2 linked regions of the Kluyveromyces lactis genome follow. The protein of the gene in region 2 interacts with the protein of the main gene of each other region in a pairwise test. Links are inferred from orthologs where the notes say so. Each region holds a gene or a part of one and is shown on either strand. Other genes may lie near its edges.

Region 1 (4,411 bases), on a different chromosome or scaffold from region 2:
ATTTGAATATTGAACAATCAATTAATTACATATTACACATGATGATGAGTTTATCGAGAAGAGAAAATCATCCAACTTTATCGCTCTGGAAACGCTTAGTCTTTTGGTTAGAACGGGGAAAAAGGTACCCTGTTTATTAATAGTATACTTGTACTCATTTAAGCTTTTTTTGTTTCCAGAGTTTCCCGTAATTTACAATCGAAAGATGAGTGGAAAGAAGACCAAATCTGGTAAAGCCAATCAGAATAAGAAACAAGAGGTTGTTCAAGATGAACGTTTACAAGCGATTGTTTTGACTGACTCGTTTGAGACTAGGTTTATGCCTTTGACTTCGGTGAAACCAAGATGTTTGTTGCCGTTGGCCAACATTCCCTTGATTGAATATACTTTGGAGTTCTTAGCTAAGGCCGGAGTCAACGAAGTTTATCTGATTTGTGCATCGCATGGTGAACAGATCCAGGAATATATCGATCAGTCCAAATGGAGTTTACCATGGGCTCCGTTTAAGGTGAATACCATCATGTCGCTAGAGTCCAGATCTGTTGGAGATGCAATGAGAGATGTCGATAACCGTGGGCTAATTACCGGTGATTTCGTACTTGTTAGTGGTGATTTGGTGACTAATATGGACTTTGAAAAGGCTTTAGATATTCATAAACAAAGGAGAAAGGCTGATAAGGATCATATTGTCACTATGTGCCTAAGTAAAGCGACTCAGTTTCATAAGACAAGGTCTCATGAACCAGCAACGTTCATTTTTGATAAGTCTAATGATAGATGTATTTACTACCAGGATATCCCATTGGCTAGCTCTAGAGAAAAAACTACCATTGATATTGATCCTGAACTTCTGGAAGGTGTTGACGAGTTTGTGTTACGCAACGATTTGATTGATTGCCATGTAGATATCTGTTCTCCTCATGTCCCTGCTATTTTCCAAGAGAATTTCGATTACCAATTCTTGAGAAGAGATTTTGTTAGAGGTGTGCTTTCTAGTGATTTGTTGAAGAAACATATCTACGGGTACATTACCGACGAATACACCACTAGAGCAGAAAGTTGGCAAACGTATGATGCTATCTCGCAAGATTTTATTGCTAGATGGTGTTACCCATTGGTTCTTAATGCCAACCTTTTAAAGGGCCAAACTTATTCATACGAAAGCCAACACATTTATAAGGAAAAAGACGTGGTATTAGCGCAGTCCTGTAAGATAAAGAAAAACACGGCCATCGGCTCAGGATCCAAGATTGGAGAAGGTACAGTCATTGAAAATAGTGTTGTTGGTAGAAATTGTAAAATTGGCTCAAACATCAGAATCAAAAACAGTTACATTTGGGACAATGTTGTCATTGATGATAACACTACAATTGAGCACTCTTTAGTTGCTTCAGATGTTAAATTAGGATCAAACGTCACCTTGAATGATGGTTCCATTATCGGATTCAATGTAGTGATTGACGATAATGTTACAATCCCAGTTGGAACCAAGATTTCAGCGGTTCCAGTACAGAGGAACACAGCTCAATTCTTAGATACAGCACATAATCTTTCTTCCAGCGATGAGGACGAAGAAGGAAGCACATTCACCAGAAATTCATCTTCTTTATCAATCAGTAATTCCGATGAAGTTGCCGATGCGAAGATTAAACTATCTAAGCAGTTGGTTGGGCCAAACGGGAGAGGCGTACTATACGAAAGTGATGATGAGGATGAAGATGAAGATGGATCGACCGAAAAGGGTATTGCGAACACATTAACGTACAGAGACGATGACATTTATTTATCGGATACTTCCATATCATCCATCACTCAAAAACATAGAAAGAGGAGAACCATGTCGATGACTAGTATCTATACTGATTACGAAGGAGAAGAAGACGAAGAAGAAGATTTCGAAAAAGAAGCCATCGCAACAGTTGAAAGAGCTATAGAGAACAACCACGATTTAGACACATCAATGCTTGAACTAAACACTTTGAGAATGAGTATGAACGTCACTTATCATGAAGTCAGGAATGCTTCTGTTATCGCTATATTCAGAAGAGTTTACCACTTTGTAGCCACACAAACACTAGGTCCAAAGGACGCTGTCACTAAAGTCTTACAACAATGGGGTCCTGTGTTTAAGAGACAAGCATTTGATAGTGATGAGTTCATTGATCTAATGAATATCATTCTGGATCGTGTGCTAGATCAGAAATTCGATAAACCAGATTTCATTCTATTCCATGTATATAATGTCTTGTATGATTTGGATATCTTAGAGGAAGATGTCATTTACAAATGGTGGGACTCTGTAAGCGGTGATTCAAAATACAGCGAAGTTACTGCTCTACTGGCCAAATGGGTGGACTGGCTAAAGACTGCAGATGAAGAATCATCTGATGAAGAAGACAGTGACGAAGACGAATAAGTCAATAACGTCATAAATGCCCTTTGAATTTTCATGGTTCCTCCGAAGTTCAAGATTGGTCAATATCAATCAATATAATGTAGCATGTAGCATTTCGAGTAAACGTGAGATAACCATATGCAAAGTAATCTATAGACAAATATACGTACGCATTTCAAGGCTAGTGTCCTCACTACCGGACTGCCAACCGCCTATGCGGTCTTCCTGTATTCTATATGGGAGAGTTTGACTGAAAATAATTCAAGTCACGTTACAACGTTACCCTAACTTCCTTATCTATTAACATATTCCCATTTCAAAATTGAAATAACAGAACAGGAGGACGAAGATATGTATGTGATGAAGGAGAGTAGTCAGACAAATTGGATGTTAGACATAGCACAGTCAGCCGGAAGTAACACCGTAAAGGCCTGCAGTGATAGTAGTATAAAAGCAAGGAAGAAAGGAATTTAAAACATGCAAACTCTTAAGTGTGTTGTTATAGGTGATGGTGCTGTCGGTAAGACGTGTCTTCTAATTTCATACACAACTAACCAGTTTCCAGCCGACTACGTTCCAACCGTTTTCGACAATTATGCTGTTACGGTGATGATTGGCGATGAGCCATACACGCTAGGTCTTTTCGATACAGCTGGTCAAGAAGATTATGATAGATTAAGACCGTTATCATACCCATCAACAGACGTGTTCTTGGTTTGTTTCAGTGTTATATCTCCTCCTTCTTTTGAGAACGTAAAAGAAAAATGGTTCCCAGAAGTACATCATCATTGTCCTGGTGTTCCATGTTTGATTGTGGGTACTCAGATAGATTTAAGAGATGATAAAGTGATTATTGAAAAACTACAGAGACAAAGGCTTCGTCCTATCACTCCAGAGCAAGGTGAAAGGTTAGCCAGAGAGCTTAGAGCCGTAAAATATGTTGAATGTTCGGCTCTTACCCAGCGTGGTTTGAAAAACGTTTTCGACGAAGCTATTGTTGCTGCTCTGGAACCTCCAGTCATTAAAAAGAGTAAAAAATGTATTATATTGTGAAAAGTGATCGGCCTTGTATTTTTTTTTTTTATTACCAGTACATGTATCAGGTAAGAAGTTTCTCACTCAAGGATGAGCGTTCTTAACAATCTTCCCGTTCACCATCAAGTCCAGTTTTATATTTATAGATGATTGTGAGATAGAGAGTGTGTTTCCAAGTTTTTGCAGGTTCAAAAGAGAAAAAAAGCTCTACCCCCCATCTCCAGAAAAAGCGTTACATTTCACTAAACCAACATCCTAAAACTACCAAAACTACTTCATAACTCTTTGACATTTCTATAGACAAACTGAAGTACCAAACGTTTGGTTCTTTGTTTGAATTCTAAACCGTCTAAAATACGAAACTGGTTCGAAGCGAAAAACTAAACACTATGGAGTATCGCTTTGTTTAAGTATAAAACCTCAACGAAATTACTCTTCGTGTGTGGATTTCATTATCTCATGATATATTTAACCTCTCAGGCTTCTAATTGACTTTTAGCTCAATAGTTTATATAAATATAAAAACATTTTCCATTTAACATATTGCTTTAATTATACTATTTGGTCTTGCAAAGTACTTTACACATCCAAAAATACAGAACTTCGGAACGTCTTATAAAATCATATTTAAACCATCAACCATATTTTAAATAACATTTAGATTCCATGCAATATTTTGGATGATGAAATGGATGTTACTTCGCATTAACCTGGGTTACCTGTAAGATAGAACTGTCTTATAACAAAACAATAAAAATCTCGGTTTTAATGGCATACGAACTCAAAATATATAATAATAACAATCTCTTCCAATGAATACACCCCCCAATTCTAACTCTTTGAAGCGCCAGCGGTAAAGACTTTCCATGCAGTGATGAATATGCAACATCTTCACTTATTCACGTGACTTTTTTTTGTTTCCTTCTATTCATTCACTACCCTCCAAGAACCGAAATTCTAAGTTCGTGAAAAACCTTCAAT
Region 2 (6,882 bases):
TTTATCACAGCCAGGCGCCGCTGAAAATGTAAGTTCGTTCGATGACGATAGATTCAAGATTGTCTCTAATATCCCTGAGCCAGGAACGTCACAGGTTCAACAGGACAGAACTCCTGATAACGCAGACGTATACGACAAGAGAGATTCGGGCCTGCCTCAAGGGTATGAAACTGATGATTTCCCAGATATTCATGCCGATGGAGGGGATATTATGGATGATAATGATCCACTTCCCGATTCTTACAGGACTCCACCAAAGCCTACGAGGAGAGAAAGGCGATTTATGAGACAGTTACCGGAAGCCGACGAGAATGAAGAAGATGAGGATATTTCTGTCCAGCTCACTCCGGTAAGGCGAGAACTGGATGATTATAGAGACGTTCCCGATCTTATAAACGATGCAGACACTACCAGAGATGAATCTTTTAATACATCAGAAAACGCGTTGTTAGAAGACGAACTCGACGATGATTTCCAGCCTGGGAGTGAAGAGGAAGAAGATAGAGATTACGTGGAAGGAATATCAGGATTTCGTGATGCTAGCTCGGATAGCTCAGAAGATAGCTCAGATTACGATTCAGAAGAAGATGATGCTGTATTGAGCGACGTACGAAAACAGAAAAGAGATATTGAATCTGCATCTGACGTGTATGATTCCGACGAAGATTACATTCAGACACAAGCTAAAGATTTATTGAAAGACGAAAGTCCAAGTACGGAAGGCGGAATTCGTAGATCGAATAGAGTCAAAGTTGCACCGCTTGAGTACTGGAGAAATGAAAAGATCGTGTACAAGAGAAAATCAGAGAAGCCTGTCCTTGAGATTGAAAAAATTATCACGTATGATCATGATCAGGATGAAGAAGAGGAGCAACTACTGAAAAGTAAACGTGCTAAAAAGCAGGTAATGAAAACCAAGACAAGACCGTATAACTACATTCCGTCCGGTAAACCTAGAGGTCGACCACGGAAAATTAAGCCTGTGGATGATCAGAACATTACCGATCCAAACGCTCCAATTATTCAAGATATTCAGCAAGGAACTTATCCAAATGCTGAATGGCTGAAACAAGGTATTCTTCAATCAAAGGTCAATGTTACAGCTGATGAGAAGAAAGAACAGAATATATTGGCTTTTGCTCCTGGGTTAGCACAAACTGAACAGGTTACAAGCACAAACCAGGATAAATTTACTTTATCGATTTTATTCGATAAACACAAAGAAAGGTTTGCCAGCGGTATGCTTAAGCTTCCGCTCGATGGAGAAAAGACCCCTAGTGATTCACATAACGCTTTTATCAATTTTTTCGTTGTTAAAGGTGTTGTTGAAATATCTGTGGGTGATAACAAGTTTGTGTGTACAACGGGTTCTTCTTTTCAAGTACCGGCGTTCAACACTTACGGTTTTCTCAATAAAGGAATGACAGAAGCGCAACTTTTCTTCGTTCAAACAACCGTCCCTGAAGATTTTAATGGTGCAGATGACATTTTTGAAGATTCGGAGATGTCTTCTAATAAATCTTCGAGCGATATGAGTCTCACATCTACCTAATGTGAATGAAATATTAATAACACAACTATTCTATATAGAAAAAATAAAGTTTTAAATTCATGTAATGCCGTAAAACAGAAATGATTATGATTGTTCATCGTATTTGTCTTCATCGTTTTCATCATCTTCCATACTTTCTGCTAGTTTCTTCATCCTTGCCAGTTTAACCAACGGTGCAAGGGAGGTGTTCTCTTCCGCAATTTCAGTGATAAATGGATCTTCAAGAAGATCTGCTGCGGTTCCTCTGTCCTCTGGATCAACCATTAAACACCAATTTAAGAACATAGCCATTTTATGACTTAAATTTCCAGGATCCTTTAGCTTTGGCGTACCATTGGTAGCGATCAAATATAGAGCTCTTAGTGGTGTCTCATTCAGATATGGTGGTTCACCTTCTATCATTTCAATGATCATAATACCAAGAGACCAAATATCAACCTTTGGTCCATATTCTTTTCTTGATACGACTTCTGGGGCCATCCAGTACGGAGTACCAACCATCGTCGTTCTCTTCAAATTTACCTCGTTAATCTGAGCACAAAAACCGAAATCTGTTAGTTTGATGTCTCCGTTCATGGATAGCAAAATATTGTCTGATTTAATATCTCTATGAATGACTCCCTTTGAATGCAAAAACTGTAAACCCTTGAGTGTTTCTCTAGAGACGGCACCGATTTGCCCTTCAGTCAATATACAGTGCGTAACGACATCAGTCAACGAACCACCTTCCATGTATTCCATGACAACCCATAAATCACCTCTAAATAGGTATGAATCAATGAAATTAACAATGTTGTTGTGTTTGCTTCCTTTCATGACCAGAATTTCATTCACAATTAACTCTTTCTTGGGTTGTTTCTCCAAATTCATCTGTTTTATTGCTACTGAAGCATTTGTGCCCAATTCATACGCTGTGTAAACTCCTCCTGATGCACCTTGTCCGATTTTGATCAGATTCTTGTACAGTTTGCTTGGGTCTCCTGTTGTGCAAATCTCGGTTAATTTTGATTGAATTTGTTGATTCTTTCTTTTCCTCTCTTCCCTCTTTTTTTCCTGGGCCTTTCTTGTCTGGACATTAGAAGTATTCGATTCCTCTTTCACTTCCACAGCAAGCCCGGAAGGAATTGCAGGTATTGAGGATTGTTCCGGTGTTGTAGGAATTGCAGGTTTTGGTGGAGTAGGAGCCGCTCTTGCAGGCAATAAATTTGCTGGTTTTTCTGCAGCCTTTGGAATAGGAGGTAATGGTTGCTCACTTTTCAATGTTGGCATCTTCTTGAATGAGAAAATGCTTGATGACTGAGTATCACTTCTTTGCACTTTTGGTGTTCCATGGCCAAGCGAATTGATTGGTGAAGGGATTTCGACCCTACGGCTAACTGTGGAGGAACCTTGAGGTTTTGGAGCAGGCCGAGTCGGTATGAACTTTTCGTTGTTCACAGTTTCACTGAAATCGTTAGTGAGCAGCGGACCCTGTAAGTTACTAGAGTATGGGGTATCATTGTTTTCATTCGGAAAAGTTGCATCTGTTTGCATTTGCGGAGTTTCGAACTTCTGTACTGATGCAGTTGATGGGGTTCTGAAAGAAGGTGTAGATGCAATGTTTGCACCAGAGCCACCTCCTACTTTGAAAGTCTTGAAGACTTTCTCTTCTCCAGAGTTTTCAGTAACATCTTGGTAGAATTTTACAATATCCATCACAGCCTGGGGATGTTGCTGTTGTTCTTTCATACTAATGCCACTGGAAGTTAAAAGTTTCTCCCATTCATTTGGTAACCCTGTATATTCCCCTGTTTTGGAGTCAACACCTACATGATAAACATGCTTAGCATTATAAGGAGTAGAGATCTTAAATGCATTATTTCCACTTCCATTACCGCTTCCGCTAGAAATTCTTTTCTCTGAGTGTGAGTTCCTCTTGATGTTTTGAACGAATGTTGAGAAAACACCTTTCTTCTTAGTACCGGTCTTCCTCTTAACATCATTAGAGGAGGTGGAGGAATTAGAATTCCTCTGGGAGTGGTCAGGCGTCCCATGCTGACTCTTAACGTTTTTCCTCAGAGAAGAAAACGGAGAAGAAATGGTTCTGAAGGGGGATCTTGATTCTGATACTGGTGTTTGATTTTCGAAAAAGTTATTCACCATTACGGGAGTTTTAATTGGAGGATCCTCATTTGTTGTTTCTGGATGTGGTTCTTCTTCAGGTATTACTTCATGCACACTTACGTGTTTCGAATGATCTGCAGACGCTGTCGATGCCTTGTTGAAACTATCTGTAGATGATAATATCTCATTTAGCGGGGACTCATATACATCATTGGCATCAACTTCAGTTATAGGTGTTGTAATCTTTGGAGAATTTGAGGTTTGTGTGGAATTTAGGAAGTCAGAAGAAGTTTCCAGGGCCCCGCCCATAAGAGAGAGATCAGGTGTCATCCTCCCGCCAGTAGATATTCTACCTATATTTTGGGAGGAACCTTCTATAGTTGACATCGTCTTATCTCCAACAATAGATTCAATTGTCCCTGGCGTCTCCTTCGAAGTCAAATTATTTCCTTCTTCCACTTTTCCTTCTAGATGCGATATTAAATCTGCATCACCTTCCGATATACTTTCACTTAACACAGAACTGGAAGAGACTCTTGTAAATTGTATCGGTTCATCCAAAGTTGGCTGGTTACTATTAAAAATTTCCGAAACATTTGTTGGTACGGTGCCCGGTTTCCCTGGATCCATAGATTTATAATCTGAAAGGTCTTTGACGTAATGATCTTCGTCTGATTCTTGTAATCCTTTCACATCCAAACTCGCTGGTGCACGAGGTAAATCAAAGAGATCTTTTGAGACAGATTGTTCCCTAGTCTCCGTTACTTCTGTATGATCCTCTAGAGTTTGTACTGAAAGATTTTCACGATGTACATCCTCTTGTTTTGAATCTTGATTTTGACTTTTGCGTATGCTACTGGTGTCACTTTCTGTATTGCCACCATTTTCTCTCACGGAAAGCGCATCAAATGTGCCTGGTAACAATTCTTCAGTATATCCAGTATCCGTCATTATATGGAGACAAAGTAGTGAGTGTAGTAGCTTCTATCAAAAAAAAAAGGCCTGTGTCAAAAGATGTCTTGTGGTTAATTCTATCGACCGAACAAAAAGGAAAGGTATTCCGAAAAACACAAACAGGTCTGTAATGATTTCTAGAGCATACAACCGTCAGTAACAAAGCCTGCTGTGGCCGTGTTAATTTCTGTCAGAAAAAAAGCTAGATTACTTTGTTCAAAGAATAGAAGATCAAGTCAGATAAACAATGAAAGAAATGACAAAACGTGCTCTGTAAAATTCTTTCTACCTTCACCTCCTTCTAACTTAAAAACGAGAGCCTGTTGTGTAATTCAGTGTAACGAACGTCTTTTGATTGCTAAAATCACACTCTCGCCAAAACAAACAAATAATGTGTGCTTGTTATTAAAAAGATCCAAAAGAAGATGGTATTACCTGGTATTACTCTCTGAAATACTTGTCAAATCGGCAGAGATAGCCTGATTAATAAAATTTAAAACCTAGTTCTAACACAAGCCACAGTTAAAGCAACAATTGAGCTTGCTCGTTTCTCTAATCTGCTTATAAACATGCATACCATCTGATCTTTACATTCCGTTTGTTTAAACTCTTAAGCTTTAAATTTCAGTTTCAACATTTTCGCCAATCCCAAAGAGTAAATCCTGTCACATGTCACGAAAGTATGTGGTATTGAAATCTTTAGTTAGGGTGGAGTATGGTTAGATCTACAGACATCTCTATGTAGTTATATACATATTCTATGACAATAGGAAGGCTCCGGAACCTTCAGTCATTGCTTGTGCAATACGATCTTTGAGTACCAGTTTATCAGAGTATTTTGGTAGTTTCAAGTAATTGGCGCATGTCATAACGCTAGGTAGGCAATGGTCTGCCGAGATGTTCCCATCTGGGTGCTTCAGGACTACTGTGAATTTGGGTTTTAAGTTTTTGAAACCGCCAAGAGGTAGTTTCGGAGAGCCAGTGATGAATTGTAAGAACAAACGTTTCTGTTGTGTCGAAAAATTCGACAAAATATCTATGAGGTCTGTTATGATTGGAGAATCCATCGAGTAGCCATGGTCTGCATGAATGGATGAGTATAGCGTTTGCACAGACCAATCTTCAGCAACTGCACCAAACAAATCGGATAGTTCTGTCGGAGTTAAGATTAGCAATGATGAATAAGGGAATGATTTCGAAAATCCGTTCCTGAAGGCAGCGAGCTGCATATCTACGCCTTTGCCCAAAAATTGGTCAAAGACACGAATCAAGTACTCTTCCACGTTGAAAGATTCAACTAAGATTTTCGAACCACCTTCCAACAATTCTATATCATAACCAGGCAGCATGAAATATAGGTCAAGGTTTTTGATAGAGTCATCATGACGATTATCATACAAAAATGCGAGTGATTTTCCTAGTTGAACATCAAACTGTCCTACGAGGTGGATACAAGTTTCGAAGTCTTCTAGGTCAAGTCGATCATTCTTGCAGCATTTGTGCATCAACTCGAAGAAAACAGCGTTAAATCTAAAATCGAGAATCCTATTATCTAACATTGACCTAGCGACTAAGGTCCCCAAGTTTTCGAATAATTTCAAAGTCTTTTCGTTATTCTCCTCGGTGGTGCCCAATAATGGTCCAGGGAACAATGCACCTGTCACATACTCCTCCTCATCATCACTGGTATCACTATTGGTCTTCCACATTTTTAGAGACTTCCTTGCAAATTCTTTCGACATCAAAGAGTAAAATTCGAGAGTGGGTCCTAACCCTGTACCTTCTTCATCTTTGTATTCGATCTCCAATACGTTTGGCGAAGAACCATACTTTTTTAGAATTTTGATGCCGGACAAAAATAGTGAGTCTCTTGAAACCCTCAACTTGTGTCTAGTCAACCTGCCTAATTGATGCAATGGATTTTCAGTAGGGTTACTATGGTGCTGATCTGCCAGCTTTTCCCTCCAGTATTGGATCAATCTGCCATATCCATATGATGTATTCTGTAAGAAGTTCATTCTAGTTTCAAATGGAAACAAAAATCCATATTTTCTCGTGATATCGAGGACCCAACTTGGTAAGACCCCACATGCCACAATAAGTGGCTCTTCAAGTTGACGGGAAAGCTTAGCACTAATCTTTGGATTCACATAAATAGATGCTGGGAGTGATTTATGTTGGCAACATTGTAGAACTGTCAAAATACCATTGACAGGCTTCAAATCCGCCCCTTCAAAAGCTGTATCGGGGTAAAGCACATGCAATTGATGTGA

What was found.
Region 1: the proteins of STE20 (region 2) and CDC42 interact in a two-hybrid assay, tested with the Schizosaccharomyces pombe proteins (4 studies listed by BioGRID). The link is inferred for Kluyveromyces lactis from reciprocal best matches to the Schizosaccharomyces pombe genes shk1 and cdc42.

What each region holds. Positions count from the first base shown.
Region 1 is NC_006037.1:381,280-385,690, reverse strand, and holds CDC42 (Rho family GTPase CDC42), read left to right. Parts: upstream 1-2,872; coding exon 2,873-3,448; downstream 3,449-4,411. Other genes in the region: GCD6 (translation initiation factor eIF2B catalytic subunit epsilon), read left to right, coding at 206-2,416. UniProt on the Schizosaccharomyces pombe protein: Involved in development of cell polarity during the cell division cycle.
Region 2 is NC_006038.1:1,189,316-1,196,197, reverse strand, and holds STE20 (mitogen-activated protein kinase kinase kinase kinase STE20), read right to left. Parts: upstream 4,607-6,882; coding exon 1,637-4,606; downstream 1-1,636. Other genes in the region: MIF2 (Mif2p), read left to right, coding at 1-1,552; putative ubiquitin-protein ligase UFD4, read right to left, coding at 5,368-6,882. UniProt on the Schizosaccharomyces pombe protein: MAP4K component of the MAPK pathway required for the mating pheromone response. Phosphorylates histone H2B to form H2BS10ph. Phosphorylates tea1. Required for skb1-dependent mitotic inhibitory function. Regulates microtubule dynamics and cell polarity.